Cricetulus griseus: one gene and its partners. The protein of the gene in region 4 interacts with the protein of the main gene of each other region in a pairwise test. Links are inferred from orthologs where the notes say so. Each region holds a gene or a part of one and is shown on either strand. Other genes may lie near its edges. The genes, in order: Plekhg4, Cdc42se1, Cdc42ep1, Cdc42, Pak3 and Arhgdia.

Evidence for each region.
Region 1: the proteins of Cdc42 (region 4) and Plekhg4 interact in a two-hybrid assay, tested with the Homo sapiens proteins (2 studies listed by BioGRID and IntAct, with this or other methods). The link is inferred for Cricetulus griseus from reciprocal best matches to the Homo sapiens genes CDC42 and PLEKHG4.
Region 2: the proteins of Cdc42 (region 4) and Cdc42se1 interact in binary tests that used the Homo sapiens proteins (3 or more experiments, as listed by UniProt). The link is inferred for Cricetulus griseus from reciprocal best matches to the Homo sapiens genes CDC42 and CDC42SE1.
Region 3: the proteins of Cdc42 (region 4) and Cdc42ep1 interact in binary tests that used the Homo sapiens proteins (3 or more experiments, as listed by UniProt). The link is inferred for Cricetulus griseus from reciprocal best matches to the Homo sapiens genes CDC42 and CDC42EP1.
Region 5: the proteins of Cdc42 (region 4) and Pak3 interact in a two-hybrid assay, tested with the Homo sapiens proteins (2 studies listed by BioGRID and IntAct). The link is inferred for Cricetulus griseus from reciprocal best matches to the Homo sapiens genes CDC42 and PAK3.
Region 6: the proteins of Cdc42 (region 4) and Arhgdia interact in binary tests that used the Homo sapiens proteins (3 or more experiments, as listed by UniProt). The link is inferred for Cricetulus griseus from reciprocal best matches to the Homo sapiens genes CDC42 and ARHGDIA.

Annotation. Positions count from the first base shown.
Region 1 is NC_048596.1:181,654,919-181,660,105, forward strand, and holds the start of Plekhg4 (puratrophin-1), read left to right. Parts: upstream 1-2,078; 5' UTR 2,079-4,543; intron 4,544-4,571; exon of another isoform or gene 4,572-4,997; intron 4,998-5,059; exon of another isoform or gene 5,060-5,187. Other genes in the region: Slc9a5 (sodium/hydrogen exchanger 5), read left to right, coding at 1-392. UniProt on the Homo sapiens protein: Possible role in intracellular signaling and cytoskeleton dynamics at the Golgi.
Region 2 is NW_023276806.1:61,269,882-61,273,962, forward strand, and holds part of Cdc42se1 (CDC42 small effector protein 1), read right to left. Parts: intron 3,446-4,081; 5' UTR 3,187-3,445; coding exon 3,133-3,186; intron 2,471-3,132; coding exon 2,360-2,470; intron 1,515-2,359; coding exon 1,440-1,514; 3' UTR 1,426-1,439; intron 393-1,425; 3' UTR 1-392. UniProt on the Homo sapiens protein: Probably involved in the organization of the actin cytoskeleton by acting downstream of CDC42, inducing actin filament assembly. Alters CDC42-induced cell shape changes.
Region 3 is NC_048595.1:375,939,228-375,944,271, reverse strand, and holds the start of Cdc42ep1 (cdc42 effector protein 1), read right to left. Parts: upstream 3,287-5,044; 5' UTR 3,129-3,286; intron 1-3,128. UniProt on the Homo sapiens protein: Probably involved in the organization of the actin cytoskeleton. Induced membrane extensions in fibroblasts.
Region 4 is NC_048595.1:15,952,064-15,957,455, forward strand, and holds the start of Cdc42 (cell division control protein 42 homolog), read left to right. Parts: upstream 1-2,137; 5' UTR 2,138-2,259; intron 2,260-5,392. UniProt on the Homo sapiens protein: Plasma membrane-associated small GTPase which cycles between an active GTP-bound and an inactive GDP-bound state. In active state binds to a variety of effector proteins to regulate cellular responses. Involved in epithelial cell polarization processes.
Region 5 is NC_048604.1:37,086,985-37,092,277, forward strand, and holds the start of Pak3 (serine/threonine-protein kinase PAK 3), read right to left. Parts: upstream 3,499-5,293; 5' UTR 3,233-3,498; exon of another isoform or gene 3,223-3,232; intron 1-3,222. UniProt on the Homo sapiens protein: Serine/threonine protein kinase that plays a role in a variety of different signaling pathways including cytoskeleton regulation, cell migration, or cell cycle regulation.
Region 6 is NC_048600.1:133,067,832-133,073,006, forward strand, and holds Arhgdia (rho GDP-dissociation inhibitor 1), read right to left. Parts: upstream 3,149-5,175; 5' UTR 3,014-3,148; intron 2,450-3,013; exon of another isoform or gene 2,301-2,449; intron 1,794-2,300; 5' UTR 1,772-1,793; coding exon 1,582-1,771; intron 1,465-1,581; coding exon 1,381-1,464; intron 1,161-1,380; coding exon 1,084-1,160; intron 998-1,083; coding exon 934-997; intron 843-933; coding exon 643-842; 3' UTR 558-642; downstream 1-557. UniProt on the Homo sapiens protein: Controls Rho proteins homeostasis. Regulates the GDP/GTP exchange reaction of the Rho proteins by inhibiting the dissociation of GDP from them, and the subsequent binding of GTP to them.

The DNA of each region.
Region 1 (5,187 bases), on a different chromosome or scaffold from region 4:
GGCAGGGAGACCTGGCTGTATATGTGTCTTCAGAGACAACTAAGATTGTACCCGTGGACATGCAGACAGGCTGGAACCAGAGCATCTCATCCCTGGAGAGCCTGGCCTCCCCTCCCTGTACCCAGCCTCCTACTTTAACCCGCTTGCCTCCCCACCCACTGGGTATGGAAGAGACCCAGGTTCCTCTTGACATGTCTTCTGACCCTCGTTCTAGCTTCGCCTTCCCCCCAAGCCTGGCCAAAGCTGGCCGTTCTCGAAGTGAGAGCAGTGCTGACATTCCCCAGCAGCAGGAGCTGCAGCCCCTCATGGGCCACAAGGACCACACTCATCTTAGTCCAGGCACTGCCAACTCCCACTGGTGCATCCAGTTCAACAGGGGGGGGCGGCTGTAGCCCAGGGCCTCAGGGAAGAGCAGGATGTAGAGCCCCTGTGGGGAGTATTCCTCAGGCAATGGGCAGAGGAGCCTATACAGCCTAGTATGGGGCCATGGGGGCCTGGACTGAAGTGGCAACTGGGCCTCCTTGGGATTGGTCAGAAGGGTTTCCTGGGCTGGTCCTCACAGGGACCCTTCTTACCACTCTCCCTGCTCTTAACCCTTTCCACTTTCCATTTCAAAAAATGGCTCAGGATCCAGTCCAGAGTTCTAGGGGATAGATCCACAAGCTTATGTCCCTTCTCTAGGGTGTCTTCCTGGACTTACTGTTGGCAGCTGTTCTTGCCCCCAAAGCAAGGGTGTCATTCTTCTGTGGACACTGGTCTCCCCTAACCTTCCTCTACCCCCCAGCATCAGGTCAGGATCAGTGCTCTGGCAATGAGGCTTTATGAGGGGCTGGTCCTCAGAATAACAGGGGTAGGATGTAGCTCAGGCCTCAGCCTTTGGCTCAACTAATGAGTTGGGTCAGCTTCAGGAGTAGTGGGAGTCTGCCTCCACATTTTGTTTTAGCCCTTTCCCTTTGCTGCCAGACATTGAGGTAATGGTGCCTCCTTTTCTAGGACTAGGCCCTGGGCCAGGCTTTAAGTCAGAGCTGCTTTTTAGCCAGTCAGCTACTCTAGGCGTGAGTCAGGAATGTTCTGAGACTTGGATCTGAGATTTCTGAGTAGGAAACAAAGAGGCCTCTGGGCTCCTATGTCTCCACCTCAAAATTTCCCAAAGGGAAAAGGAACCAGGTATCCCAGGGCCACTGCACTGTTACTATAGGGGGCTAGGATGCCTGGCTGCAATGTTTGGGGACAGTTGACTGAGTAACAGGTGGCTTTCCTGGGGTTAGCCCCTGCCTTGTGTTTTGTACCTTAAACCCAAGATACATTAAATATCTCTTAGATGGATGAGTGTCCTCTGTCCATTTGTCTCAGGCTTTCAGGGGTGGGACAAGAAGGATCTGCCTGTTCCAAGATTTTCAGGAGTAGAGAATAGTAGGGGAGTTTTTAGACAAAGCTCTTAGTCCCTCTGGTCCTCGTAAGTACTTTTCTAACAGGAGGCATGGAGTGGCAATCTAGGGGACCACTGTATGGGTTGGGGAAGAAGGTGTCTCAGAACTGGGAGTCCACAAAATGGGAAAGGACAGCAGGAAGAACACCCTGGAGGTCACAGTCTAAACTATCCAAGGGTACCATAGAGACATTTCTAGGACAGTTTAAGGACAGGTGTGAGCCAAGTGAACAAGTGGCTCTCCTCATATGACAGGTAGGAAGTCAAGCTCCAGGGAGTTGACCACCCTGAGAATTTATAAGACAAATCAAAGCAGTATGGGTCCTGAAATCTGTGGATAACAGCATTCCCCCAGTCTAATTCCTAATGTGCCTGAAGATTTTTTTTTAAAACATCTTTGAGAATAAACACCATAAAATTCACTTGTTTAAAATGTACAGTTAAATTTGTTTGTTTTGTTTTTAATATTTATTTTTGCTGGGTATGGTGGTGCATATCTTTAATCCCAGCATTCAAGAGACAAAGGCAGGTCCATGTCTATGGGTTCAAAGCCATCCTGGTCTATGTGGCAAATCCAGAGACAACCAGGGCTACATAGAGAGACTGTCTCAAACCAAGGTTTATTTTTGTTATAATTGTGTGTAGGTATGTGTGTCTGCATGTAGGTATGTACATGAGTGCAGGTACCCTCAGAAGCCAGAGGCACTGGGTCACCTGGAGCTTGAGTTGCATGTGTTTGTACACCTGGTGTGGGTGCTGGGAATCAAACTCTGGTCCTCTGGAAGAGCAACAAGTGCTTCAACCACTGAGTCTTCTCCAGCCCCAGTTTTTAGTATATTCACATAGTTGTACAAACCTTCTCATGATATAAGAATAGAACATTTTCATCATTCCCCCATGAAGTTCTGTACTGACATCTCCCCTCATCCCACCCACCACACATCCATAGGCATTCTCTAGCCCACTTTTCATGTCTCTGAGTCTGAGGACCTTGGAACACATCAAAAACCCACAGGCTTGGTCAACTTTTTTTTTTTTTTCTGTGCATGAGAAAAAGGTAGAGAAGGAAGAGTGACAGCTTTATATTCAAGTTTGCTAACAGCTGGTTGATAGGGCTTGATAGTTAATTAAAGTACTTAACAATCCGGAGTCAATCCTAGCTGTTACTATCTATATCATCGGGGCCTGTTACCCTAAGCTTTTTGAGACTTGGTTTTCTCTTCTATAATAGGATGGTTGAAGCAATGTGTAGTGGCAAAATGCCTTTAATCCCAACACTGGGGATGTGGAAGAAGGTGGATCCCTGTGGAGTTGAGGCCAGCCGGGTCTACATAAAAAATCCCAGGCTATCGAGAGGTACACAGTGAAATCATGTCCCATAAACAAAACAACAATAACAAGGGTTAACAATTATATTTAGTATCTCATAAGATTACAGGTAGGATTAAAATGGGAAGGAATTGTCCTAGCCCTGGCTCTGTGGGAACAAATGGTAAGTTTTTACTTTATCGTGTTTATTCTGCAAGGCAAAGATGCGTGGAGAATGCTGTGGCTCTTTGAATTCTGGGAAGAAGGGGGATAGGAAGAGTAGTAGATTGTGGAAGCTTAAGTAGTGGATTCCAAGAAAGGGAAGCTAGAGATGGAGGGGCACTCCGGAGGCTACTTCAGCAGCACAGTAGGTGAAGAGGACGAAACAATAGGCAATTGTTTCCACTGCTTTTTAGTGTCAGGATAACTGGGGAGCTGGCCCAAGCATGGAGATTCCTGAGCCTACTCCAAAGTGTCTGATTTTTGGAGCCAAGCTCTCACTATGTAACCCTAACTAGCCTGAAACTTGATATGTAGACCATGCTGGCCTCAAACTCACAGATCTGCCTGCCTGCACCCTCCCCACCCCAGTGCTGGGATTAAAGGCATGTGCCACTATGCCCACCTACTCCAAGAGTTTTGATTTAGCAGATCTCTCTAGGCCCAAAAAGCTAGGGAGCACATCTTGGAAAGTGGGAAAAGGTGCCAGGCATTTGCTCTGTAGGAGCAAGCAAGTCAAGAGTTTGTCCACTTGACTGGACAAAATGACATGGGTGGTTATGCTACTTGGGATGTATGGAGAGGACTGTTGGATCTAGGCCTTAAAGAGGAAAGTGTGTGTGTGTGTGTGTGTGTGTGTGTGTGTGTGTGTGTGTGTGTTCAGAAGCTATCCACTTTGAATTAACATAGGTCTCTCATGAGCCTGGAGCTTGCTAACTAGGCTGGGCTGACTAGCTAGTGAGCCACAGGATCTGCCTGTCTCTGCCTCCTCAGCAAAAATTACAAGTGTGTGCTACTATGTTTAGCTTTAAAAAAAAAAAAGCCCTGAGGATCAAACTCAGAGCCTTATGCTTGTAAGGCAAACACATTACCCACAGAGCTATCTCCCCAGCTTCCCTCCATCTAAAAAAAAAAAAAAAAAAAAAAAAAGACAGGACCTTGTTATGAAGCTCTGTCTTACTGTCTTGCCTGGAACTTTTTTACTTATGTAGAGCAGGCTAGCCTTGAACTTGTGATCTTCCAGCCTTTTTATCTCAAGTAGGTGAAGAGGCATGTACCACAGCACCAGGCTAAAAGGAAGGATTTTGAGGATGATGAGGGTCTTCAAAATCAGAGAAAGTAGCATGAAACAAAAGACTTAGTCAGCTGCGTTTCCAAGAGTGGTCTGGGAGTTAGGTAAAAAGTGATGCCTCTGGGGAACTTGAATGCCATACTAAGGAGCCAAGAAAGGGGTTATTTAGGTCAAAGATGAGAGGGGTCTGAGGTTGTCTTTGCTGTTTACAGTCGCACTGAAGAAGGGTAACCAGAATTTAAGTAATTATGGTATTGCTCCTGTATCCCCAAGCCTAACAAAGCCCAGAGGTCACTTTTTTCTTTCTTTTTACTTTTTTTTAAAAAAATTGGTCATGTGTGAAGAAAAGACAGTCAGGAGAGGACTAGTGAAGGAGCAGGGGAGGGGCCTGTCCACATTTGACGATCTCAGTGGAAAAGGCTTCAGCAGCCAGCAGAACCAGAGATGGCTTCCATGAGTCACGGTTCAGACTTGCAAGCTCAGCCCACAAAGCCTGCTGTGGTCAGCCACCCCAGGTTGGCTCTAGGCCTAGTCCCCCAATGTCCCCCACTAGGCCAGTGTCTGTCCCTGTTTCTGTTTGTGCCTTTACCATCCCAGATTTGTTTGTCGTACAGCCCTCTGCCTCTTCTGTCTGGGTCTGTCTCTATCAGTGACTTTCTCTAACTCTGGTTTCCACATGACCCACAGATGGACAGTTCAGGGCGGTAGGGGCATTGTGACTAGTCTTAGATACCCCTAAATATTAATTCTGTGCCAGGTCTGAAGTGCAGAGCTAGAAGTATGAAAGTGGACAGCATACAGTCTGCTTACAGGGCACATTCTATGTGGAATGGGAAAGCCACAGCCTAGTCCTGCCTCTATCTCAGCATGTGTGCCCTCCCCCAACTGCCTGCTGTGCTCCATGGGCCCAGGTTAGCTAGGGCCTACCTATGCCTGATGCCTCTTATTTGCTTCCATCACTCTGACGGGGTATGTACCTGCCAGAAGGTCCCTCTACTTCTTACAGCTCCTGGGGGCCTGGCTGGTGGGTGGAGGTGAGCCTCAGAGTGGAGAGGGAGGAGAGGGAAGAGAGGGACGGGGAGGCAATGACTCAGTGGGGGTGGCCTGGGACAAGAACCAAGGACAGAAGCCAAGACTGGACCCAATGCTCCCTGAAACT
Region 2 (4,081 bases), on a different chromosome or scaffold from region 4:
GGGAGGCACCTTGGATCCCCTCACCTACCTGCCTCATTTAAAGAGTAAAGGCAAGAAGTTTAAACAGGTGGCACCCGACCTTCATTCAGGAGCAGGGAACTCATTCCAGGTTCCCAGAGAACCCCCAGCTCAGATCTAGGGTGCCCAGGGCTGCAGCTGAGCTCCTCTGGCCCACCAGTAGTCACTTGGTCAGTCCTGCTGCCTTGACCCCATCTCCAGGAGGGGCAGAGGCCAGAGGGGGTAGAGGGAGTCCAGCCCCCATGCCTTTTGAGGCACTTGTTAGGACGAGGAGGAGGAGAGGGGCTCTTGGGTCACTGGTTGTAGAAGGGACCTGGTGAGGGTGGCATTTCTTCTGGGCTGGACATGGAACCAGAACTTCAAGACTGCAGAACCTGAGTTTAAAAAAAAAAAAAAAAAAAAAAAAAAAAAATCAACTATTGGTTTCACACTGTAGCCCAGGCTGCTCTCAAACACACAGAAATCTTCCTGCCTCAACTTCTGAAGTGCTAGAATTACAGGCATGAAGCAGTGTCTGGCCAAACAACTTTTTTTTTTTTTTTTTTTTTTTAAAGGACGATCTAGAGATAGACACAATAGTACACATTTGTAGTCCTAGCTCTTGAAAGTTTCTGGAAGGGGGACCCCAAATTTAAAACCAGCCTGGGCTACAAAGTGAATTTAAGCCACTTCAGCTACCTACCAAAACCCCACTGGAGAAGAAAAAGGCAGTCTGCTCTCAAAGAAAACAAATCCTGGGCCTGGAGAGATGGTTAAGAGCACTGACTGTTCTTCCAGAGGTTCTGAGTTCAATTCCCAGCAACCACATGGTGGCTCACAACCATCTGTAATGTGATCTGATGCCCTCTTCTATCACATACTGCATACATGATAAATAAATAAATAAATCTTAAAAAAAAAAAGAAAAAAGGAAACAAATCCTGAAGGAGACAGCACTATATAGTACATATCTTTGTGGGGGAGTACTAGGAGACAAGTCTCACTATGTAGTCCTAACCTACAGAGATTTGCAGAGATCCCCTGCCTCTGCCCCCAGTGCTGGGCAAAGGTGTGCACCACCATGTCCAGTCTATAGTGCACATTTGAAATTTCTGTAAGGCTCTTTCCTCAAATTTTGTCTTTTTGAGATGGGGGTACCATGTAGCCTACACTGACCTTCGCTTCACTATTTGTTGAAGAGAAGCTTGAACTATTTATTCCTGCTGCCTTTACCTCCAGTGTGCCGGGACTATGGGTGCCATCATGCCCCCCACCCCATTCCTGTAAAGATTGTGTTCCTGAACTTCCATTGTAATTCTTTCCACCAATTCACTTCTCAGTCTAGAATCAAAGGATTAAAGGTCCGAAGCAGGGCAACAGGACATGCTGGCACACGCACAGTGTCAATGGGTTTCTCTTGTCACTTACCAGTCCCATGGGAACTACAAAGCCCTAGAATTGCTCCATGGTCTGTCTCGGTTTCCCTTGGATCTCATCTGCTCCTGAACTGCACCTGTCTGTTGAAAAGCATGTGTCACACAGTCACCTAACTCTCTGCATTCCACAACAAGCAACAATTTACCCCGTGCCCCCAGGAGGGGCTTGACCTCATCTCTTTTCTGACAACGACATCCGTCTGAAGACTTTAAACCTGACCACCATTGTTCTCAGAGAAGTCTCATGAAGACAAGGTAAAACTGAGTCATTTACTAATGAGATACACACACACACACACACACACACACACACACACACACACAATATTTTTTTCTTAGTTTTGTAACCAGTATTAAAAAACTATGTTCAGACCCATCTCCCTTACAGAGAGCAGAAATGCACTAGAGACATTTAGAACAGAGCCTTTCGTGGGCCCAAGACTCCCAGTCACAATGCATCACTCTGACACTGATTCAACAGGTTTTCCTTTTCTATTTCGGGATAGGGTCTCTAGGCCAGGCTAGCCTCAAACTCCCTATGCAGGATGACCCTGAGCCTGCAATCCTTAGTTCCCAGTGCGGAGGTTACAGGTAGGAGTCACCACACCCAGTTTCTGCCGAGCTGGAGATCAAACCTAGAGCTTCCTGCATTCGAGGAGAACACTCTACCAACTGAACTACAGCCTAGATCTGATTAGTTCTCAGTAAGGAGAGCCATGGTTGAGAAGCTCTCCAACTATGACAACATACATACCCCTCACTCCAATGAAGAGCCATATGTAAAGAGGGAGCCAGCCCTAGAGATCAGAAATGCACACCATTGGGGACCAGGTCTACAGTCTAATATCCTTGTTTTTCCATTGAGTACTGTTATGTCCCTCACTTGGCTACACCCCCAAATAAACACCTCCCCCTTCTCTCATTACCATGGCAAGTCCGTCTCCAGCCCCCATCTCTCCAGAGCCAATGTGAGTCAAGTGAACAAAATTCATTGGTTCCCCGATCATGGTTCGGTCAATCCGTCTTCGCCTCTTCTTCTGTTTGGAGAGGAAAGGAGTCACACATGCAGCCATCTCCTTCCCCCCATGGAGGATGGGGAAAAACCACTAAGAGTTAAGGGTTGATTTGGCAGTGTAACTGGCAAACATCAGGGTAGGAAAGACAAAGTTGGAATAACAAATCAGAGACAATGTCACCAGAGTGGTAAGGACATGGCCTGCTGAGTGAACACACAAAGAAAGGACAAAGCCAGCCGGGCGTTGGTGGCGCACGCCTTTAATCCCAGCAATCGGGAGGCAGAGGCAGGCGGATCTCTGAGAGTTCGAGGCCAGCCTGGTCTCCACAGCCAGTGCCAGGATAGGCTCCAAAGCTACACAGCGGAAACCCTGTCTCGAAAAACCAAAAAGAAAGAAAAAGGACAAAGCAAAGTCACCTCTAGATGATGAGGGGACACTGACAGCTCTTAAGTTCTATCTACAACTCCTGCCCACCTCAGAACAGGAGGAGGTGACAGCTAGAACTAGTCAACTCTTCTGTCACACAGTCTCCTTTGTTGCACGTGAACACACCTGCCCTGCCACAGACACTCTCAAGAGGTATGTGAGAAAAGGGTTTTTCACAAGACAGAGCAGAGATGGCGGTCTACTTCATGGCACATGGTAACTAATTCCTGTGTGTCGGGTGGGGTCAGAAGACTTACCGGCTGAGGCTTCTCTACCACGCAGCAGCCCAGTTTGTGCCAAAATTCACTCATATTCCCTGATGGTTCCAGCTTCAGGCCTCTGCCAGAGGCCCCAGAGAGGGCTCTTGTTTTGTTGCTAATCACCCAGTCCTTGTTCTCAGGTATAATAAGCCTTGGGTTCACTCAGCTGGATGGCTCTAGAAATGTGGGAATCATAGAGACCCTTAGCCGTGCAGTGAAAGTTGGAGTCTCAGACCCGAAGCCACTAAAATCATCAGCAAGAGGCTTGGGCAGGCAGGCACAAGGTTCTGTCTTCTTTAGATGTAGACTCCTGAATTTTAGCAGAAAGAAAAAAAAAAAACTGTTAGTGAGAAACATCCCTCCCTATTCCCATTTCCCAGAGACCTTCTGCTAAGCCTCCATCTTCTCTCTCGGAGGCTTTACTACTGGTACCCCACTCCTGACCCCCTCCAAACACAGAAGGCTCACAGTGGCTTCTCACAATAAACAGTGCAAAAAGACCATCAACAGGGTAAGGGGCAATGACTACTGGGACTAAGGAAGAAGGGAGCTAAGAGAACTTTGGATGAGACAGTGAGAGAAAATGAAAAGTGGCAGAAATGAATGCAGGGGTGCTACCAACTTCAGCTCCCCTTTTCCTGGGTTAGGGCAGGAGGGGAGGGGCACATAAGTGACTCCGAAGAGGAAATAGTGGTTTTTGTTCTCACAAACAAGGCCTCCACCCTGTCCCTCCCTGTTTTCTTACCTTGCCCCAGCACCTAAATTTTCTTTAAGGACCACCTAGTTCCTATGACACTAACTCTATCAGTGTGAACCTCAACAAATACTTATGGAGTGAGGAATTTCTTCCTTCTCACTCCATTGCCTTTGTTCCTCCTCACTTGTCCCAGTTGAGGTCGGGCCTCCCAGAGTCCATTTGGAGTTAATATCTGACCTTGCCTTTCCG
Region 3 (5,044 bases), about 360 Mb from region 4:
GAACAGATTGAATGCCCTAAGAAGGCCTGGAGAAAGGGCTTTATCATTTGGTCAGGTTGATGGAAGAGCCTTGTTGGGGAACACGTTTTTAGGGGAAAAAAATAGTCCTATGGGTGCCAAAAGCTATTCCCTGCCTACAATTGTCCTTCCTGATCCCTCACCCACTTCCTCTGCTGTCCTACCCTTCTCAGAGGGCCCCTCTGTGTCCCTACTTCTCTTTCTCTAGGTGTCTGGAGGGCACTTAGGATCCTGTAAGCCCATACTCTGGTTTTGTTTGACCCAGAGAGGGCCACGCTTGTTCAAGGTCTCATCAAAAAGCTAGTCCAAACTTGAACTCGGGGCTTCTGACTCACATAAGCCCTTGCCGGCTTTCGGGGCCCAGTCTTGTTTCCCTGAGCACTTTGAGGGTGTGGCGATGCCTGGATTTTCCTGCCTTTCTCCCTCCCAGCGCTTAGCACATGGCCAAATCTACAGCCAGCCTAATCATTAGCTGAGATAACCTTCCGGCCAGAGGACCACCCCCTGCCACCTTCTGAGGGGGTAGAGTAGACTGGGGACTCAGAGTGCTCACCCTTTGACCTTGGGCAAGTCACCACACACCTGTTCAACTGATAAAGATCTAGACCTGAGTTTCAACTTTTTTTTTTTTTAAATTTTCTCAACCCTAGTTGCCGCCTGCAAGCATAAAATTCTCAATGCAGCCCTTCTATGTTATTTGAAATTCAAAATAGGTTAACTAACAAAATAAAACAAAGAGGAGAACTGGACAAAGCTTGCTTTGTTTTGGGACCGCATTCTCTTCCTTCCCACCATCGGATCCTCCTCCAATCCTAGCTCCTCCCCCCTGGGGGGGTGACTTCTGAATCATCCCTTTCCCTGGCACCCCCAGCTCCGAGAAGTCCTCGTGGAATGTTTGCTGAAGTTATAAAGCATTCTGCTTGTTGTTGGCTGACCAATGACATGATGTCATTAGATGATTCTCCAACACCCCCTTGAGGCTAGAAGGCTGGCTCAGGCTACAAAGAGCACTGACATGCCCAGGGAACAGACTCATCCAAGGTCCCGTGGCAGGTAAACACCGGCCAGGTTTCCCAGCTCCACAGAAGACTAGTCGCTAAACTTTAGAGTCTAATGGAAGGAGCTGTGCAGCCGGATAGGGCTCACTTTGTAAAATGGCACATGGAGGGGTCAGCTGTGTCTACCATGTGAACACAGCCCCCACCCCCATCCTCTAACTTCTGAGTGTCTTCCAGGCTCCTGCCCCGACCAACCCCCTGACCAACCTTATGATGAAGCCACCTCCCAAATGCCTCTGGGTACATCTAGATAGCATTTTCTACATTTATACCATCTACAGCAGCAGAGTATCCTGGCCCAACTTCAGCTACTGTCTTCCCATGGAGAAAACAGAAGGGCCTCCCAGCCAGAGAAAGGAGGAAGGGGCAGAAGACATAAAAACTCAATTCCCCCACCCCAGAGCAGGCAGGCCTGGGCTCAAATCCAACACTTCCTAAGTAAGGGTCATCTTTTATTCTAGTGACCCTTGGTGGCAGCCACCTACCGCTTGGTGTTAGCCACAGACTACCCTGGCCTTTACATTCACACCACCTGTGCTGGGTGTTGAGCACAGGCCCCTTTTCTCAAAAGCCCAGGAAACAGCCCCTGTAAACGCTCAATTCACCCATTTTACCTGGGGAAAATGAACCCTAGGTCACAGAACAGAAACAGTGTGCGCGCTGGAGCTTGTTTCCGTTCTACCAATGCTGGCAGAAATGCTTTGCCAGTGGAGTGACAATGGCAGAAGTGGGGAAGTTATTAGAGGGAGGAATGCGGATCCTGGCTCTGCGGTTAAGCATCTATGACCTAGGCATGAGAGGCCACATGTGAGATGTCAGTATCCCCGGAGCTCTTAAATTTACTGATCAACAGTATGGACACGTGGCAAGAGCTCCCTTGGTAGTAATGACCACAGGGACAAGTTTGGGGGCTTTAGCAGGATGCATTCACTCAGAGGCCAACAATGATGGATGTGGAGGCAAGGAAGCCACTCCGATGGTGGGGAAGGACCAGGTGGTAGAGGTAGCCGCTTCTTGGAATACCCAGATACTCCCTCAGGCAGGTGCGCAAAGCCTGATTGGGGTGGGGTGGGGGGTGTACAGCTCTTTGACGTCAACTCAGGACGGTGGAATTCTGTTACTTCAGATGTCCCCAACCAGTGATGTTTGGGATTAGAAGTTAAATCCTCAGCACTTTGAGGTGGAAGACAGGGAAACTGAGGCCAGAAAGGGGGTAGTAAACTGCTAAATTTCACTGCCCTTAGGACAGGAGGAGGCGCCTCGGGCCATTAGGGAGCAAAGTGAGAGTTAAAACGCAGGGTTTTTGTTTGTTGACAAGGTCTCCCAATGTAGTCTATGCTGACCTCGAAATTGTGACCCTCCTGCCTCAGTTTCCCAAGTGTTGGGATTAACTTGGGTGCCACTACAGATTTACTAAGATGCCTCCTTGCCCCAGCATCCCAAATTAAAGCTAAGCAGCCCTCCACTCTGCCTTTGTGCTCTCTCAGCCTCAGTTTCCCGGTCTAGAAAACGGGCTTCAAACTTGGTGAGTCTTGCATAGTTGGGACAAGGGCAGAATCAGTTGTGATGGGAAGTTCAGGAAAGACTTCAACCGGGAAACATTCCCTTCTGGGGACCTCGGAGGGGAGACTTTGGAGTGCCCCTTACTCCGGTCCGGCGCGGGCAGCGGCAGCGGTGGCCAGAAGGGAACCGGACGGGATGACCTCATCCGTTGCTCCAGTCTGGAATGCAGCTGGGGAGGGGGCAGGGTGCCCTGTCCCTGTCCGTCCGCGCTCCCCCTTCCACCCCCCAGCTTCCCGCTACCGCGCTGGCGCCGCCGAGGGGCCCTGGGATCCTTTCCCTTCCGCTGCCCGCGCAGGAATGCGCATAGACGGCCCTGGGCTCGCCCTTTGCCCGCCTCTCGTTTAGTGCTCTGTCCGCCGATCCTTGGTCCCCTGTGCCCTCCCGCAACGTGACAAAACAACCCTAGAAATCTGCGCGTCCCGGCCTTCTACAGGTTGGCCCCATGCGCCCAGGACGGTGCGCACTCCCCCAGCCCGCGCCCGTGGTTACCTCGTGTCGTCGAGCCCGGGGGGTCCAGGGACCGGCGCGCTGGCGAGTCCCTGCGCAGCCCAAGAGTCGCTGGGCCGGTCTGCGCCGCCCTGGCCGCGGGCTTGGTGGCCGGATCCCCGGGCGGGGGCGGGCTGCGGGTTCCCTCCGCCCCTGCTCCGCCTGCAGCGGCCGCGCCCCCTCCTGGGCTAGCCACGCTGCGAGGGCTGTAGGGGCGCGGCGGGGGTGCCAGGCCAGGCCCCTGCCCGCCGCTCCTAGGCGGGGCGACCTCGGAAATGTTCTCTCTGTCCTGAGCCGGGACTGCCCAGAGAGGCCGGCCACTTGGACTCTTTGCTGCCCACTGCTCCTCAGATGACCTCGGGGAATCCAGGACTGACAACTTTGGCCTGGGTCTCTAGCCTTTCCTACTGGAGCTGGGGGAACTGGCTGGAAGACTTTGGATTTTTTAAAGTGTGGGCATTCACTCTTTCCCTTTCTCTTCAGCCCCGTCCTGGCCACCTAATACTAGCCCCATGAGATGCCAGCAGAACACTTAGCTTCTCTAGGGAAGAGTCTACATGTAGAGAGGCCACTAGCATGTGGTAATGTCATAGAGTCTAAAGCTGGTATGGCCCTTCTTCCTTCCTTGCGTTTCAGTGCCTCGGTTTCCCCATGGGGCTAGAGAGATGGCCCAGCGGTTAAGAGTGCTTCCTGCTCTTCCAGAGGATGGAAGTTCTGTTCCCAAAATAAACACATGCGCGCACGGAAGTGCGCGCAGACACACACACACACACACACACACACACACACACACACACACACACACACACAAATCTATTAAAGTGGAGTTATCAAACCAGTCATCAGTTATTACAGTATCTCCTGTTCCCTGCTCTAGCAACTAGGAGAGCTGTTGAACAGGTAAATGAGGTCACACCTTAGAGATCTTTAGTGAGGCCTCCCTACTTCAAAGAAGGCAACAGAGTCAGCCATGCTCAAGGAGAGATGGCCCACTACATCGTGTTGTACCCTCTTCAATTTGAGGACAGACAGGAATCCTGGAAGTTGCAAGTGGCACAGACAGGTCCCTAAGGCAGTCTGGCATTGGGATATTGAGCAAGGTTCCCGGAAAGAGAGGAAACTCAGGTTAAGGCCTGAAGAAATAGAAAGAGCAACAGAGAGCCTAGGGGGTTCACACACTGGATAGACTGTGGGCAAAGTCTCTGAGCTATAGAGCAAGGACAGAGCTGGGCAGCATTGTCCCTGCAGGGTGAGGAGCCATAAGGAGAGGCAGACAGAGGAGAGTGCTATGCTTCCAGGGTTGGCTCTCTGTATTATCACACTGGTCTCCTGGGGAGAGGGCCATTTTTCCCAGCTGGACAAATGATGAAACAAAGCATATTAGTACTTGCTCAATTGGCATGCAGATAAGATTGAGATATAGGTGGTTCGAGATCTTTCCCCCAGGGCAGCCCAGGGAAATCAGGAGGTGTTCCCAAGACTCAGAGGCACTGAAGCACATGGGTGAGGAGGCCGGACAGGACAGAACCAGGCCAGGGCCTGGGTATTTAACTATGGCCAGATGCCTGTGCATGTATAGATGCAATTAAAAATCTCCCAGCTTTTATTGAGCACCTCATGCATACTATTCATAATCACATTTAATCTCTGTGAGAGCCCTATGGGAACAATTGCATCATCATGTCCATTTTGCAGAAAAGTGAATTGACTTGTCCAGGGCCTCCTACCTTGGCAGGATGACCACATTTCCTGTTTGTCAAGAGCAGCAGTGTCCTGGCTTGATCATCAATACCACTTGCTTTTGCCCTCAAAGGTGCTCTGGTTAGCTGGAAACTCACTCGTCCCTCAAGCCAGGGTTCCTGGTGCAGCTCAGAAAGGAAACTATTTGGCTCAGTGTCAAAGACCCAGATTTCAAGGCT
Region 4 (5,392 bases):
CCATGCAAGTGTGAGGACTTGAGTTCTAATCCCTAGGGCTCACATAAAGCTGGATGCAGTGGCGCATCTGTAAGCTCAGAGTTCCACTGTTCAAGTTAAGATTCCTGACATACAATGACACACCCTTCTGGATGCAGTGTCATGCCCAGCTAAGTGGACTTATTTTTTTCTTTTATTTTTAGATAGGGTGTATGTATCCCAGGACAGACTGAACTCTCTATGCCTTCAAGGATGACCTTTGATTTTCCTGCTTCCACCTCCCAAGCTCTGGGATCAGAGCTGTTCACCCCCATACTTTATTAAAGTGGTAGTGATGATCAAATCCAGGGCTTCGTGCATGCTAGGCAAGCACTCCACTCACTGGGCTACACTTCCAGCCTGCAAATGAACATTATTATTATTATTATTATTATTATTATTATTTGGTTTTTCAAGACAGGGTTTCTCTGTGGCTTTGGAGGCTGTCCTGGAACTAGCTCTTGTAGACCAGGCTGGTCTCGAACTCACAGAGATCCACCTGCCTCTGCCTCCCGAGTGCTGGGACTAAAGATGTGCGCCACCAATGCCCGGCTTGCAAATGAACATTATTAAGATGTTTCTTCTGATATCGGGAAGCATCTGAGACTAGGACAGGATCCCTATTCTCTAGCGGCTTTCGCACTAACAGGGAAGACAGCAAACAAACAGGTACCAAGAAGACAGGGAAGGTAGAAGGATTTGAGAGATCAGAGCTGAAGGGACTAGCACAAGACACCCCAAGTTCTCAGCACAAAGGAGATTTATTTGACCCAGGGGGACAGAGGGCAGGGAATATGAGACAAAGACAGGAGACAGAGGACCAGGGAGAAGGGAAAGAGAACAAGGGAGAGGAGGGAAGGAATATTTGTCCCAGAGGTACAAAGGACTGCCTCTGGATTGAGAGGAGACAGACATGGCCCATAGACAAACAGCAGTTTATAAAGGTAAAAGGGGGAAATCCTGAGTTAGGATGAAATTTGACTGGACAGGTTAATTAGGTAAGACAAAGGGGGGTTTTGATCGCTGGACTACAATACTTTGATAGCTGGACATTGGCAGTCAGCCTCAGGAGGAGGAAGTGGCTAAATAAGGGAATGGACCATGGTGGCTAGTTTTAGGATTATAATCTAACGATTTTTAGCAAGACAGAGGGGATGTGGGAGGACAAGGCCATGTTTGCCACACTCGGGCTGGCTAGAGTCCCTTCAAGAGTCAACCTAGGGGGCCAGGGAAGAGGAGCTAGGCAGAGTAAATGCAGGACCTTTTTGAGGGGGCGGGTCTCTAGCTCTAAACAAAACCCAGGGCAATATTCTATTCTCACTCCTTGACAGGCAGATTGTTTAGAGGCCCGTGGGCTTCAGAAAGCTGTGCACAACAAGTCTCTATTTCTCTTTGAGAAGCAAAAAAGGATGCAGGGTGTGGAGATGCATGCCTACAATCCCAGCACTTGGGAGGTGCAAGGATGAGGATCAGGAGTTCAAGGTCAACCTCTGCTACATAGTTGTGTTCAAAGCCAGCCTGGGCTACATGAGACCCTGTCTCAAACGTCATTAAAGAAAGGTACCCTGGTCATGGGGATGCACATCTTTAATCCCAGCACATAGGAAGCAGAGGCAAGCGGATCTCCAAGTTCCAGGCCAGCCTGGACCATATAGCAAGTTCCAGACAGCCAGGGCTATACACAGAAACCCTGTCTCAAAAAAACCAAGCCAAGCCAAACCAAACCAAACCAAACCAAAAAGACATCCCAGACATGGTGTTGAGTATCAGCACGCAGGAAGCAGAAGCAGGAGAATATGAGTTCTGGGACAGTCTGGTCTATATAGCCATTCTAGGACAGCAAGGGCTATATAATGACACCTTGTCTCAAAATAAAAAAATTAAAAATAAGATATATTTACAATGCTTTTCTTCACAAAGTTCCAAGGACAAAAACAAACTTTAGTGACAACACTGTGAACACTTCTGTTCATAGTTTTATTACGAATAAAAATCACTGGTAAAACGTGCAGAAAACCTGAGTATAGGAGGAACTCAGCCCGCGCGTGCGCGATACGGGCGGAGCCACTACCAAGCCACGCCCACCGCGGCCCGTTCCAGCCCCTTCTTCCTCTTTGTCCCGCCCACTTCCGCGGGCACCCAACCGTGCGTCCCCTGCGTGCTGACGTCAGGCGCGTGCCCCTGTCCGGCAGCCGAGGAGGCCCCGCGCAGTGCTGCCAACGCCCCGGCGGAGAAGCTGAGGTGAGTGCGGGGCCCGAGTAGCCTCCCCGCGGGAGTGTGTTGTGCATCGCCCGGTCCCTGTCGCGCGCCCCCGCCCTCCCTCGGTCCTCGAGGATGCTCGCGGTCGGGGGCATCCCGGTACCTGCGGGCCTCGAGGGGGGGGATTGCCGGGTTCGCGTGCGCCCGCGGGCCCGGGTTCTGAGGGGAACGAGGCGGGGTCGCGGAGAGATTTGGGGCCGGAATGGCGACGAGGCGCTGCCGGGGATGGCGGCGGCGGAGGGCGCATCCCGGCCGAGCTGTCAGTGGCGGCGGGAGAACCAGGCACACCCATCCCACCGGCTCCCCTCCCCCTCCGCCCGTCCGCCCTCCCGCCCGCCCGGGCTCCGCAGACTCCTGGACGGGGGCAGCGGACGTAGGGCCGGGTTCCGGGCCGGGGGCTGGGGGCCGGGGGCCGGGGGCCGCCGGCCGCCGTCTACGTTTTCGGTCTCGACTTCCTGCTTCCCGGGCTCCGCCGTGGACGCGTTGCTGCGGGCGGGCGGCGGGGGAGGGGAGCGGAACTGCGGCCGCAGGGCCGGGCCGGGGCCACGGTGACGGACCGGGCGGCTCTGCGCCTGCGCCCCTCGGCGGTCCCCAGCCCCGCGCTGTGTCCGTCCGCTCCTGCCCCGCGGCTCCCGGGGCTCCCGCGACTGGGCCGGCCTCCTTGCCTTCCGGGACCTGTCTAAGCACCTCCCGAAACCCCGCCTGGCCGCTTGCTCGGTTCCTCATTACTAGCAGGAAATTTTCTTTGTTGGTTTTTCTATTTTTTTTTTTTTAATTCCTCTTTCCTCCCCTTTAAGTCCCGTAGAAATGCAGTGTGGAAGATTACGTCATCTCAGCATAAGGGGTGAGAGTTTTAACTCCTACAAGTCAGGGCTCCACAAATTAAGATACATCTTGTGGCCTTAGTGGGTCACTCCACTCAGCACGTCGGTTCAGAGTCAGGTGGTGTGTTTTTTTTTTTTGTTGTTGTTGAAATCATGTTGCCTGCCTTGATGGCTGCCTGAGATGCATCTAAAATACGGAAAGGTTAAAAATCTTAGGCTTAGGTTATTTTTGGCCAGGGAATACACACTGTCTGCAGCCACTTAGGTAGGCATGAACTTTAAAGGTCCCCTTGGCTGTCTGTACTCGGTTGAACTTTCTTGTGGGAGCAATTCTTTGCCACACTGACCAATTGTGACTTAACCTGATGTAAGGAACCTAAATTTGGTGCATGGTGCTAAGGGTGAGCTAAAAAGAGAATTTAGTTGTATATCTGATTTGTCTTTGTTAGAATTGCAACTTAAAGTTGCATGCTTTAGTTTTACCATTAAAAATGGTTTTCGGATTTATTTTTTATTTTGAAACAGGGTCTCTATGTTTAGTTCTGGCTAGCCTTGACCTTAAAGGGACATTCCTTCCTTCTAAGTCTCTCTTTATAGGACTTATTTATGTTCTGTCATGGGAAACTGATAGAATAGTCCCTGCCGCCTAAGTGCTGGGATTACAGGCATGAACTACTTAAATTACCACCCTTGGTTTTAATTTTTAACCCCCAAAACTTGAGTAATATTTTTAGACTTGTATCACTAGAATTGTGTCCTTTGATTATAAAATGCAGCAGTGCTGAAGAACATTAACATTGCAGAGCAAATGAGGTCCACTTGTGTAATGCATCCTTTTAAGGGTGGCTCATGTTTGAGAAAGAATTTTCCCATTATTGCTCATTTGTATAGAAAATAGCATTGCTTGTTAAGAAACACCAGAGTGGTGTATTCAAATTGACTTTCTGTAGTTTGTAGGTATGGCGCTTGAATCTTCCAAAATACACTGTTAGTCTTTTTGTGACATAGGAGTATAACATTGGAGCATTTATTTACTACTGTATTTTTTAGCTTTCTATGTTTAAAAAGTTTATATGTGAGCCAATTTGTATTTATTTAAAAAGTTTGTGTGTGCACCAGTTTGTATTTTTTTCTTTTTAATTAAGTAATCTGGCTGGTGAGATGGTTCAGTGGATAAAAGCACTGGTCAGGCAGGTCTGACTACCTTAGTTGGATCCCCAGAACCCATGGTGGGAGGAGAGAATCCTGATTCCCAAAAGTTGTCATCTAGCTGGATTTATTTAGTGTTCCATACTTTCAATCTTAGGCAGAGGCAGGTGTATCTCTGAGTTTGAGGCCACCCTTGTCTACATAGAGAGTTCTAGAACATCAAGGACTAGAGAGACCCTGTCTTGAAAAAAGAAAAACAATAACTGTCCCAGATCTTCACATTTTGGCAGCATGCAAGCATGCATGTGTACACACTTAGAAATACACACAGTAATAATAAAAATAAGCAATTACTTTGAAGTTTTAGGTTTTAGACTAAGGCAAGGAAATAAGATTGGTAATTAACTGAGTATTAAAAAGGAGCTTTGAAAATATATACAGTAATTTGTTCAAGACCCAAAGGTGTCTTGTCTTCTGTTACATTCTCTTAAGATGTTTCATACAGTGACCAACCCCGTAGCTTAGTAAACACATTTCCCCTGTCCAGTATTCTAAGCAAGCCCATCAAGACTGAATCCTGAAGTTTACAAAATGTCAAAGTTTGTTTACTTAGGATTTCTTTTTTGCACTTGAAATAGTTTTTTAAAATGTTTTTATTCCTTCATACTTTCATACATGCATACAAAGTGTTTTATATTTTGATCATGTTCATCCCTATCTCCTTTCTCTACCACCTGATCCCTGTCCCCAATATGTTCCCCTCCCAACTCTGTGTCCTCTTTTGTGATCCACTGTGTCTAGTTAATGCTGCCCCACTTGTCATCTTATGATCTATGAAAGAAGCATTTTTATTTTTATGTGTATACTGATAAAAATAAAAAATACCCAAAAGCTATTAAATTTGGACAATTATGTACTTTGTCTTTTTTGGGAAGTAGCACTGATAGGGTTTGGAAGCACAGGTCAAATTATGCTTTGATTTATAGTACTACAATTTAAATGGAATTCTCTCATTTTAGTTGTTTTTTAAGAGTATAAGAAACATTTAATCATTTTAGGGTATAAGATCTCTTATAAAGGGGAACAGTTCATAGTGGGTGCATTTTTCTCCCATAAACAGCTCTCTGTCCCTCAGTGTTAAA
Region 5 (5,293 bases), on a different chromosome or scaffold from region 4:
CTATTTGACCAGCCATGTCCCCAAACACTCTTATGACCAGTCTAACAAATGGGACGCTGGTTTTTATAGGCAAACACATAAGAAATGCTTGCTACATGTGCTCTTTTCCTGGAGAGTCACAATATGCATTAGCCTAGTAGAGGCTTTTAGAAGCTTTGCAATGAACAAACCTGTGCTCTTTAAACAACAATTTCCCCGACTTTAACTACAAAACTCTATCTTCTTTCTCCCTCTCTCTCTATCTGACTTAGGGACATTCTGCCTTGTTTGGAACTCACATCTAGAAGCATTAGGTTAGTACTTGCATCGATCCGAGTCTCAGCACAGCAGCAGCTCAGCTCCACACCAACCCAAGATAATAGGCTCTGGGGTACATTCTTTTCTTTTTAGAGATACTGTCTGATACATTCTGCTATCCACGGCTAATGAGCAAAGAACCTTCATGTGACCAAAGGACCCCAAGGCCACTATTATTACTGCAGGGCATTGGCCAAATGAGCAAAGAAGCTAATTCTACTCCCACCCACCTCTGCTTCTATTTCTTTCAAACAGAACCCAGGGCCACTCAGAGGCCTCATTTAAAGGAGGGGGCATCCATGATGCCAAGCCCTATCATCAGTGTTCACACTCTTCACCAGCATAATCTTGGGCCATCAGGTACTTTGAGTGGAAGTCATCAACCTCCAGGCTGTCCTATTCATCAACCTATGCAATCAGCACCAACACAGTAAAATAGGAGACTTCAAATGAGCTTCTGGTGTATCTTAATTGCATAAGTATTAGAGTAGTCATTATATATCCATTTCAAAACCAATATAGAGCACAGAAATCTTGTGCTACCGTTAATTACCAGTGACACTACTAAAAGTACCTAAAATGTAAAAATTCCTGAATATTCTGCCCTGGTTACTTTCATATGAGTCAAATGACATGGATTTGATATTTATTGCTATAATTTTCATATTTTTCTTGGTGTTTATTAAACATTTACAGCATGAAGGGAAATTCCTGCATTGAAATTGGTAACTTGTTGCATAAGAATGTAATGCAGGTATATCTGTCTTTATCCATTGGCTATGTAAAAAATGTTGTGGAAATGCATTTTTGGTAAAACAAAAAACAAACAAACAAAAAAACCCAAGTTTACTCCAATGGCCAGAGAGGGACTGCTTTTTTTAAGAGTATCTGGTTAGGAACTCTCTTATAAAATGACAAATTCTACAGCCTGAATGATTCCCATTAGGTTCATTTGCATTGCAAGTCCATATATATATATATATATATATGTATATATGTCAGATTTGCTTTAAGCAAAACCTGGTTATATTAATAAATGAGGCAGACATTTCTTAAAATGGGGATACATTTCGATCCTCATCAATTTGCAATACTGGCTCCTTTCAAATTCATCATTAATCATCATTCTAATCCACACAGACTCATTCTGGGATTGCAGAGAATTTGGCAATAATACTTCAGATTCCCTGCAGTCTTATTTAACTATAACCTTGCCTTTGCACATGCTTCTCATTGAGCTTAGGATGCCATTCTCCACTTAGCCACCTGGTGAATTAATTCCACAAGACTTGCTTGACTCAAATGTCACTTTCCCAGTGAAGCTTGCCTTGATCATAACCCCCACCCCCAGCCTGACACCCCCCCCCAGAGCTTCCACAGTACCCTGCCCATCCCTTGTCATACTGTTTCCAAGCTCTAGCTTGCATAACAGCCTACACTCCCTCAGAACCGATCTGATGTTTTATTCATTTCCATATTTCCAGTACCTAACATTACTACTGACACATGGCAGGTGTGCAATAAATGTTGGTCGTTTGACTGATTGCAATCCTTAACGGCTTGTTTTGGAGACTTGAAAAGCAATGTGTTATCAGAAGCAAAAGCAAAAAAAAAATGTTGAAGGAAAGTTAAGGAGTTTTGTTCATCTTTACTGATTTTTCTGTGATTAAAAACAAAATGGCTACATGCTTTATCAAATATGAGCCTGTAGAGCAAATTCACAATTAATAAGTTCACTGGATGTGTTCCTTTTTCTCTAAACATGCAATTATGTCCTAACACATAACAAACTTCCTTGCTGTAAAGACGACTTGAGGATCCACTAATTACAGGAGGTGGGGAGGCACTGCAAGGTTCACTGGAAGAGCCTTTGAATCTCATTGGCTGAGAGAAAAAACCTGCTAAGAAAGTTAGGAATCTTCTGTGGGTGGGGTGGGGGACCAAATCAAGATGTCCACCAAGGTCTGGTTAACCTAGGTGGAAATTTCAAATCCACAGAGTACCAAGCAACTGCCCCAGCTTGGGGGCGGGGGGGTCCCATCACTTTGAAGTCAACATCACCCTTCCAATGTGGGCAAAACAGGTTGGACTTGATCAGCCTGCCTGCATGTTGCTGCAGTCTGGCTTGGCATGGGATGAGACCCAAGGACATGTAATGGCCAAGAGTAGCCCAGCGCCATGGCGCAGAACACACATAGACACACACACACACTGTGTGTGTGTGTATGTGTGTGTGTGTGTGTGTGTGTGTGTGTGTGAGAGAGAGAGAGAGAGAGAGAGAGAGAGAGGAGAGAGAGAGAGAGAGAGAGAGAGAGAGAGAGAGAGAGTCAAATGCACCAGTCCAACTCACACGAAATTCCACACAAAATCTCCAGCACGTCCCTGGCACACAGTACTGCATTCCTGTATGCCCAGTCACACACAGGGAGTGCCCCCTCACATTCTCTTACTTCCCTAGTATGCAGGAGCCCACACCCCACACCACTAGCAGACAGCAGCCTAGCCAGGATCTGGAAACTACTAAGGACCGGTTTTGTCCTGTGTAACAAAGCCTCAGGCCCCCAGGTGCCCAGCTGGATCCACTCCATCCATCTCTCCCCACCCCCATCCCTCAGCTCCCAGAACAAGAGAAAGCTCAGCTTTGGGAAGTGGATGCTGGAAGTGGGGACGCAGAGAAAGAGCTTTAGGGATGGGCGGGAGCAGGAGTCCGAGTAGCTTCAGTACTCTCTCGCCATGAACCAAGAGGGAAGAAATGGCAAAGGGACAGAGGTGTCTTTCTATCCTATCTCCCCCCACAATCTATTCATACAGCAACACAGAAAACTGGGAAATAATCTCCCCTTCCCTCTGCCCGCAGCTCCTCCCAGTGGCTCTGGGAGCCACCGGTGTTTCAGCAACCCGCAACAAAGCGCCCCCAGCACAGACCTGTTCCAACCTCTTTCGTGGCAGGAGAAGGGAAGCTGCTGCCGAGGGTTCTGCCTTTAGCTGCTGGGCAGGAGGAGCCGGGGATGGGGGGGGGGAGGAGCAGGAATTGGAGGAGGAAGAAGGATGAGAGGGGATAGGCGATCACAGCAGCAGCAGTGGCTGTGGAAGGAGGAGGAGGAAGAAAAGGAGGAGGCTGCTTCAGTGGCAGCTGCTGAGGATGCTCTGGCTAGAGGCAGGGCTGGGTGTGCGGTCTGTGGGCTCACGTGCACCCCATGGCCCAGGGATGCGCGCGCGCGCACGCGCGCGTCTGGGTGTGTGAGAGCATCTGGGTCTATTTTGACTGTGATTATTCCAATTTCGACCTGGTCTGGAACTTGCGGTTCCTGCAATCAGGCGGAAGTGAAACCCTTTAAGTCTTCCAAGCCTGACTGTTGGGCCTGGGGAGTGGAGAGGGGGTGTGGGGAAATCCCCTTCTTTTAGCCTTTTTCTTTTTTGTCTAATCACTGGTAGCTTGAATCTGCACCTACTTCTGAAAATCCTATACCCAAAGAGAAAAGAACCTAAAGAAAGTCACAATCACATGGCTGATTGGATCACAGGGCTGGCCATTTGGACAACTCAGAAGATAATTTTTGTCTTCACAAGGGTTAACTCATGAATTGGATTGCCCAAAACTTTATGGACATTGTACATTTTCTCCTTTCGTTCCATTGCTGTATCTCTATGCTGGTAACCAAAGTTCCATATGATCAACCCTGTTTTTAGATCTCTCTCCTCATCAGGGTTATCTAGGCCCCTGGCTTCTTTGATATATGAATGTCTGTTACAGAATCTTCATATTGTTTTTCCCCTGATAATGAGAGGGGTGTTGATTATTACAAGCTCAGCTTTAGATCAGTGTAGTTCTGTGTGCATCTCTAAAGCTAAGAAAACAGTTGTGAAAGGCACAATTTTCTTTTGTGATTCGATATTTGATGAAGTCCTTTGTTAGAGCCTTGGCTTTAACTCACTTCTCCAATGTTTTTGAGTGTTTTGCCTAATGATTTACACTCAGAAAGTACTCTGGGATTTATAAGTTCCCTGCAATAACATCCCTGTGACCCATTCAGCGAGGATACCATCATTCCCATCTTATAAACAACAAATTAAATTCACCAAGATTAAGTTGATTTGTCTAACATTACATGCTGATAGATGGGAGATCCAGAATAAGGTTCTCTGTTTTATACTGTTAAGCCAAAGTTTCTTTTAAAATTATATTTCAAAAAGAAAGTTAAGAGTCCGAAGAGGTCACTCAACAGTTAAGAACTAAAATTGCTCTTTTAAAAAATGCCTTTATTGGCTCTTTAAAAAATAGTGTATTTTATGTGCATAGGTGTGGAGGTGTCAGATCCCCTGGAACTGAAGTTACAGACAGTTGTGAGGTGTTATGTGGGTGCTGGGAATTGAACAGTGTCCTCTGGAAGAGCAGCCAGTGCTCTTAACTACTGAGCAATTTCTCTGCCCCCGCCCCCCAAAAATTGTTCTTACCGAGAACCCAAGTTTGTTTCCCAGAACTCATGTTGGGAGGCTCACAACTACGTGTAACAGCTCCAGGGAATTCAACATCTCCTTTTGGTCTCCACAGACACCTGTACTCAGGTATACATCCCCCCACATAGATACACATGAATTCACATAATAAAAATCAAATCTTTTTATTTAAGGAAATTTAAAAATCATTGGTGTGGTAAAGAAAGTCAATACTAAGTATAGTAAGATTTTCGAAAAAGCATTTCAGTTAAATTGACACATTGCCACACACATGCTAATGGATTGAACAGAGTTAAAATATCTGAGGCCTCAATCTCCAATTCACAGACACAGTCATCCCTTTGATTTTGCTACTAGTGGTATAAACATAATTTGAAATGACTCTACAGAAAGTACAATAGGAAAATGGTCCACTTGGGTTTCCAGGGGCAATAAGCTTATAAGTGGTTGCCCACCAAGCTAGATCTGTCTCCTCCCTAGGCCACAAAAATGAATGATTGTTTGCCACCAAAAAGAAGAAATCTGTATCCTACATAGA
Region 6 (5,175 bases), on a different chromosome or scaffold from region 4:
CCTGGCCATGGGGAGGGGGAAAGAGCTGGCCAGGCCTGCAGGAAGCAACAGCAGCACACTCCAGGCCTCCCTGGGTGGGTCACCAGGATGGGGATGGCAGACAAGGCAAGGACAGGGGAGACCACATGCTCATGCAGACAGTGGAGTTAAGAGTTAGCGACGGCCCCCAGTACATGTTCCACATGTTAAGGCATCATGGTTAGACAGTGACTGACAGTGATGGATGACCTGGCCAGGGGGGGTGGTGCTTAGAGGACACAACCCAGCCCTTCCCCCAGGCCCAGCATTCTAGCTAGCTCAGCTGGGGCAGAGACAAGGTGGGCTGGGCAACCCAGACAGTGTTCCATTCCATTCTAGAAGCCAGGGCCTGAGGAAGGGACGACAGAGGAAACCTGGGGGACACAGCAGATTGGAGGCCTGGGCTGAAACCCCTCCCCCACTGCACAGGCAGAAGCAGCAATGTGACAACACTGGAGACCACAGGGGCCTGCAGGCAGGAGGTGGAGGAGGGGCAGACAGAAGAGGGGAGGAATGGTGAGGGAGGGTCCTGTCAGCACTTTGGTTTGGGGTGGGTAGGGGTTGGGGGTGGGGCATGTCGGTCCTTCTGTCTGTCCGCCGCCCTGCCCGCCTCCCAGCTGGAGCTCAGTCCTTCCACTCCTTTTTGATGGTGAGGTTCCATTCCCAGGACAGGTGGTCCGTCTTGTCATCGTCTGTGAATCGGGACTTGATGTTGTAGCTGCCCCGAGCGAGCATGCCTTTGGGGGCCTCTTCCATGGGTGTCAGGAACTCATACTCCTCAGCCCGGGGCCCATAGCTCCCGACCATGTAGTCGGTCTTGTCGACTGTGGTGTGGACAGGAAAGGCATGGTTAGTGGCCACGCAAGCCCCTCCCGGGACCCACAGGCTTCCCACTCTATCGGTACGACCACTTACTTTTGACCCCTTTCCTGTATGTGTGCTGGATGTACTTCATGCCTGACACGATCTCTCTGTTCACCTGTGGGGACACAGAGCAAGGGTCAGCCGGCCCCCCAGTGCTGATGCTCTGCCCCTCTGCCAGGCCTCTCCAATCCTCCACCTTACCCGGAAAGAGATTTTTATCCGGTACTCCACACCTTCCTTCAACACAAACGACTGTTTCTTGAAGCTCTCCAGATCACCTGTATGGGGAGGAGGCACAGCCAATTGCCTGGAGGCTTTCCATCCTGCCCCCACGTTCCCTTTCCACAGCCCCTTCCGTGACACAAAGCAGGGCCTTGGAGAGCACCTAGCTGCACTTTCCCCCCTGCCCCACCAGAGGGCACCAGTGCAGAAAATTATTTTTAGGGGCAGCGGCTGGATGCCAGCTGGCCCCACCCAGGGACTCCAAAACCCACTCACCTGTCAGGTCCAGTTCCAGAGGGCCCGGGGACGTGCTGCACACCAAGGTCAGGCGGGTCACAATGACATTGGGGACATTGGGGTCTGGAGAGCAAGAGTCATGAATCAAGAGCTCCATTCCTTAGATTTTTTTTAACTCCCTGGAAGGAGGGGGGCAGACTGGAAAGGGGGTGGTGACAGGGTCAGGTGACATCCACCTACCTGCAGAGACAGCCACTCGGCCCAGCAGGGCCTCCTTATACTTTCGAAGGCTCTCATCATCCTTGTCCAGTTCCTGGATCTCCTGGATGCTCTTCTGGGCTGGGGGCTTGTAGTTGACAGAGTGCTCATCCTCCTCATTCTCGGCCGCGATCTGCGCAAGCTGCTCAGCGGTGGGCTCCTGTTCTGCCATGCTCACCTCTAACCTGGGATACCTGTGGGTGGGCAGCGAGCAGAGCGGTGACAGCCCGGAGGCATTGCAACCTAGAGGGACCCTGACACCTGCCGGGAAATGATGGAGGTAGCCACGCCAGGGCAACTTTTAGAGGAGATAGGAGGCGCTGCCACTGCCCAACTAACTCAAGAGGCTCGTTTGAGAGGGCTACACCCCAGGCACACCATGAAGCCACAAAATGGGGACCACAGCCCGTTCCTCAGAGAAGCAGAACAGCTTTCCTCCCCATGAAGAATGAGTAGCCTCCTGACCAAACGGAACTGGGAGAAGCAACGTTAAACCACGTGGGTCCTGCTGCTGCCCCTAGATGCCCGGGATCTAACCCAAAGACACTCTCACTGGGTCACGGGGAGAAGTTCTCTGAAACGGGGATGCTCTGTGTCCTAGCCACGTGCAGGACAAGGGTCTGTTCCTTCCTGCCGGTGGAATACCGTCCTAAGCTCAACTGCGTGGCGACCAAATGAGACGGTAAATATGCAAGCCCGACCTCCCTTGTGAGGGGTCCGCGAACGCAGAGTGGGAGCTGGTGCACCGGTTGCAAAATAAATCTCAGGAGCCCATTGCTGGACCCTGGTCCTAAAGCGTCTGTGGCGGTGCGGAACCACGCCGGGACGGAAGCGCCTCGGTGCCTTTCAGTTCCGCAGATCCCCACCCGTCCCCCAGACACCCACTCGAGCCCTGCAGGCGATGCGCGGCGGTCGGGGCAGCCGCCGCCCCTCTGGGAGGCGTGCGCCAGAGACTCGGGGGGAGCGCCGGCCCGACACCCGGAGGGTCCCGGAGGCCCCGCCCGACGCGGCCAAGCGTGGCCGCGGGCGACAGCATCCAGGGCGCGGCCCGCGCTTCCGCAGGGCCCGCAATCCGGGAGGGCGGGGGGGGCCGCGCGGCGGGAGCGGCAGGCCGGGCGGGCCCCAGGCCGGACCCCGCCCGCGCGGCCGGGAAAGGGCGCCCCCGCCCCCGACCCGCACCGGGACCCGGACCCGGGACCGGGACGCGGCGCCCAGGCCCGGGCAGCGGCGGCGCTTCGGGCAGGACCTAGAAGGCGCCCGGCCCGCCCGCTGCCGTGACCGCGCCCGCCGCCCGCGCTCGCCCGGGGCCCGCCGCACGCCCGCCCGCCCGCCGGCCCGCGAGCGCCGGGGTCGCCGCACAAAGCCAGCCCCCTCCCCTCGCGCGCCGCCCCGCGCCAGGCAGCGCGCCACTCACCGGAGGCTCGACCGTCGCTCTCGCGCTCCCTCCCGCACCAAGTGACGAACGTCGTCCGCCGCCCGCCGCCCGGACGGTCACTTCCGGGGTCACAAGACTTCCGCTCTCGCGGGCGTGCGGGCGGGGGGCGCCGTGCGCATGCGCCGGCAGGGGGCGCCGGTCGGCGCCGCCGCCATTTTGCGGCCGGCCTCGTGGGCGCGTCGCGCGTGGGCCGGCGGCGTCGCGCGGGGCATCGAGGGGCGTCCGCGGCGCGTGTGGGCCGAGGCCCGGGCCCTTGGGCTCCGGGGCGGCCGCTCTGCCGCCCGGGTTCCGCGGCCGCCGCGCCCGGGCCTCGTCCCCCATTGTCCCTGCAACGCAGAGATGGCAGCGCCGCACGCACGCACGCACGCACGCACGCTCGCGCCGCCGGGCGCGTGGCTTCGCGGGCCGTGGCCCTCTGGGGTCCCCACGAGTTCCCCTCGCCGCGCCCCGCGGGGCCGGCTCACCCCGAGACGGGCAGGAGCCTCCGCAGGGACGAGAGCCAGCACCGCTGCCGCCCTGGGCGTCCGCCACCGCGCTGAAAAGATGACTGGAGGGAAACAGTCGCCCGCCGTTCATCCGCCACGTTTACGGCCTCGTTACGTCACGCGAGCACTTGTTCCCCTGGCCACGCATCCCCAACTCTGAAGCAAGCCAGGTGTCCTTTCAAGCGTAACCGTTTCATGCACTGTTTTCTTCGTCCGAGGAAGATGGCTCCGCAGTGTCCTCTCCCTGCTGCTCAGTGGCAAACTACTGCAAAACCAAACGCTGTCACCACTTGACTGTCCCCACTCTTCCTCTGTGATGGAGTCCGCTTGCCACACACGCACGCACACCACACACAGACACACACAGACACGCACACCACACACACGCACGCACACCACACACAGACAGACACACACACACAGAGACACACACACAGACACACACGCACACACCACACACACAGAGACACACGCACACACGCACAGACATGCACGCACACCACACACACACACAGACACACACACACACAGAGACACACACACAGACACACACACACAGACAGAGACACACACACACAGAGACACACACACAGACACACACGCACGCACACACACACCACACACACACCCTCACAGAGACACACACGCACACACGCACAGACATGCACGCACACCACACACAGACACACACACACACACACACACAGACATGCACGCACACCACACACACACACACAGACACACACACAGAGACACACGCACAGACATGCACGCACACCACACACACAGACACACACACACACAGAGACACACACGCACAGACATGCACGCACACCACACACAGACACACACACACAGACACACACAGACACACACACAGAGACACACACAGAGAGACACACGCACGCAAACACGCCCAGTGAGTCAAGCTAGCTTTTCAGGAGGCTCGAAGTCCTGCACCCAGTGGGCCTAGTTTATTGAACTCTGACCCACCCACAACTCCTTAGTTTGAAGCACTTGGCTCCAAGTGCAAATCTTCCAAAGCGGCTTCTCTTTTATTTAATTTTTTAAATATTTTTCTTTTGGTTGTTCAAGACAGGGTTTCTGTATGTAGCTTTGGAGTCTGCCCAGGAACTTGCTCTGTAGACCAGGCTGGCCTTGAACTCAGAGATCCTCTTGCCTCTGCCTCCCGAGTGCTGGGACTAAAGGCGAGCAACCCACCACCACCACCTGGCCTTTTTACTTTTTGGATTTATTTTTATTTCCTGCATATAAGTGTTTTGTCTGTGTGTGTGTGTGTGTCTGCACCGTGTGTATGCAGCAACCACAGAGGTCAGAAGAGCTCTGCAACTGGAATTAGACTAGTTGTGAGTGACACCGAGTGAGTGCTAGGAATTGAACCTGAGACCTCTCTGAAAGAGGACCTCCTGCTGAGCTATCATCTCTCCAGCCTACCTCTGTCCCCTGGCAACTTGCTCTGTAGACCAGGCTGGCCTCGAACTCACAGAGATCCGCCTGCCTCTGCCTCCCGAGTGCTGGGATTAAAGGTGTGTGCTACTACTGCCCAGCCTCCAAAGCTTTTTCATAGCAAGGGTGATTGACATTTGAAGAAAAAAATTAACAAAAATCTTAAAAGCCCAGTAAATATTTTCCCTG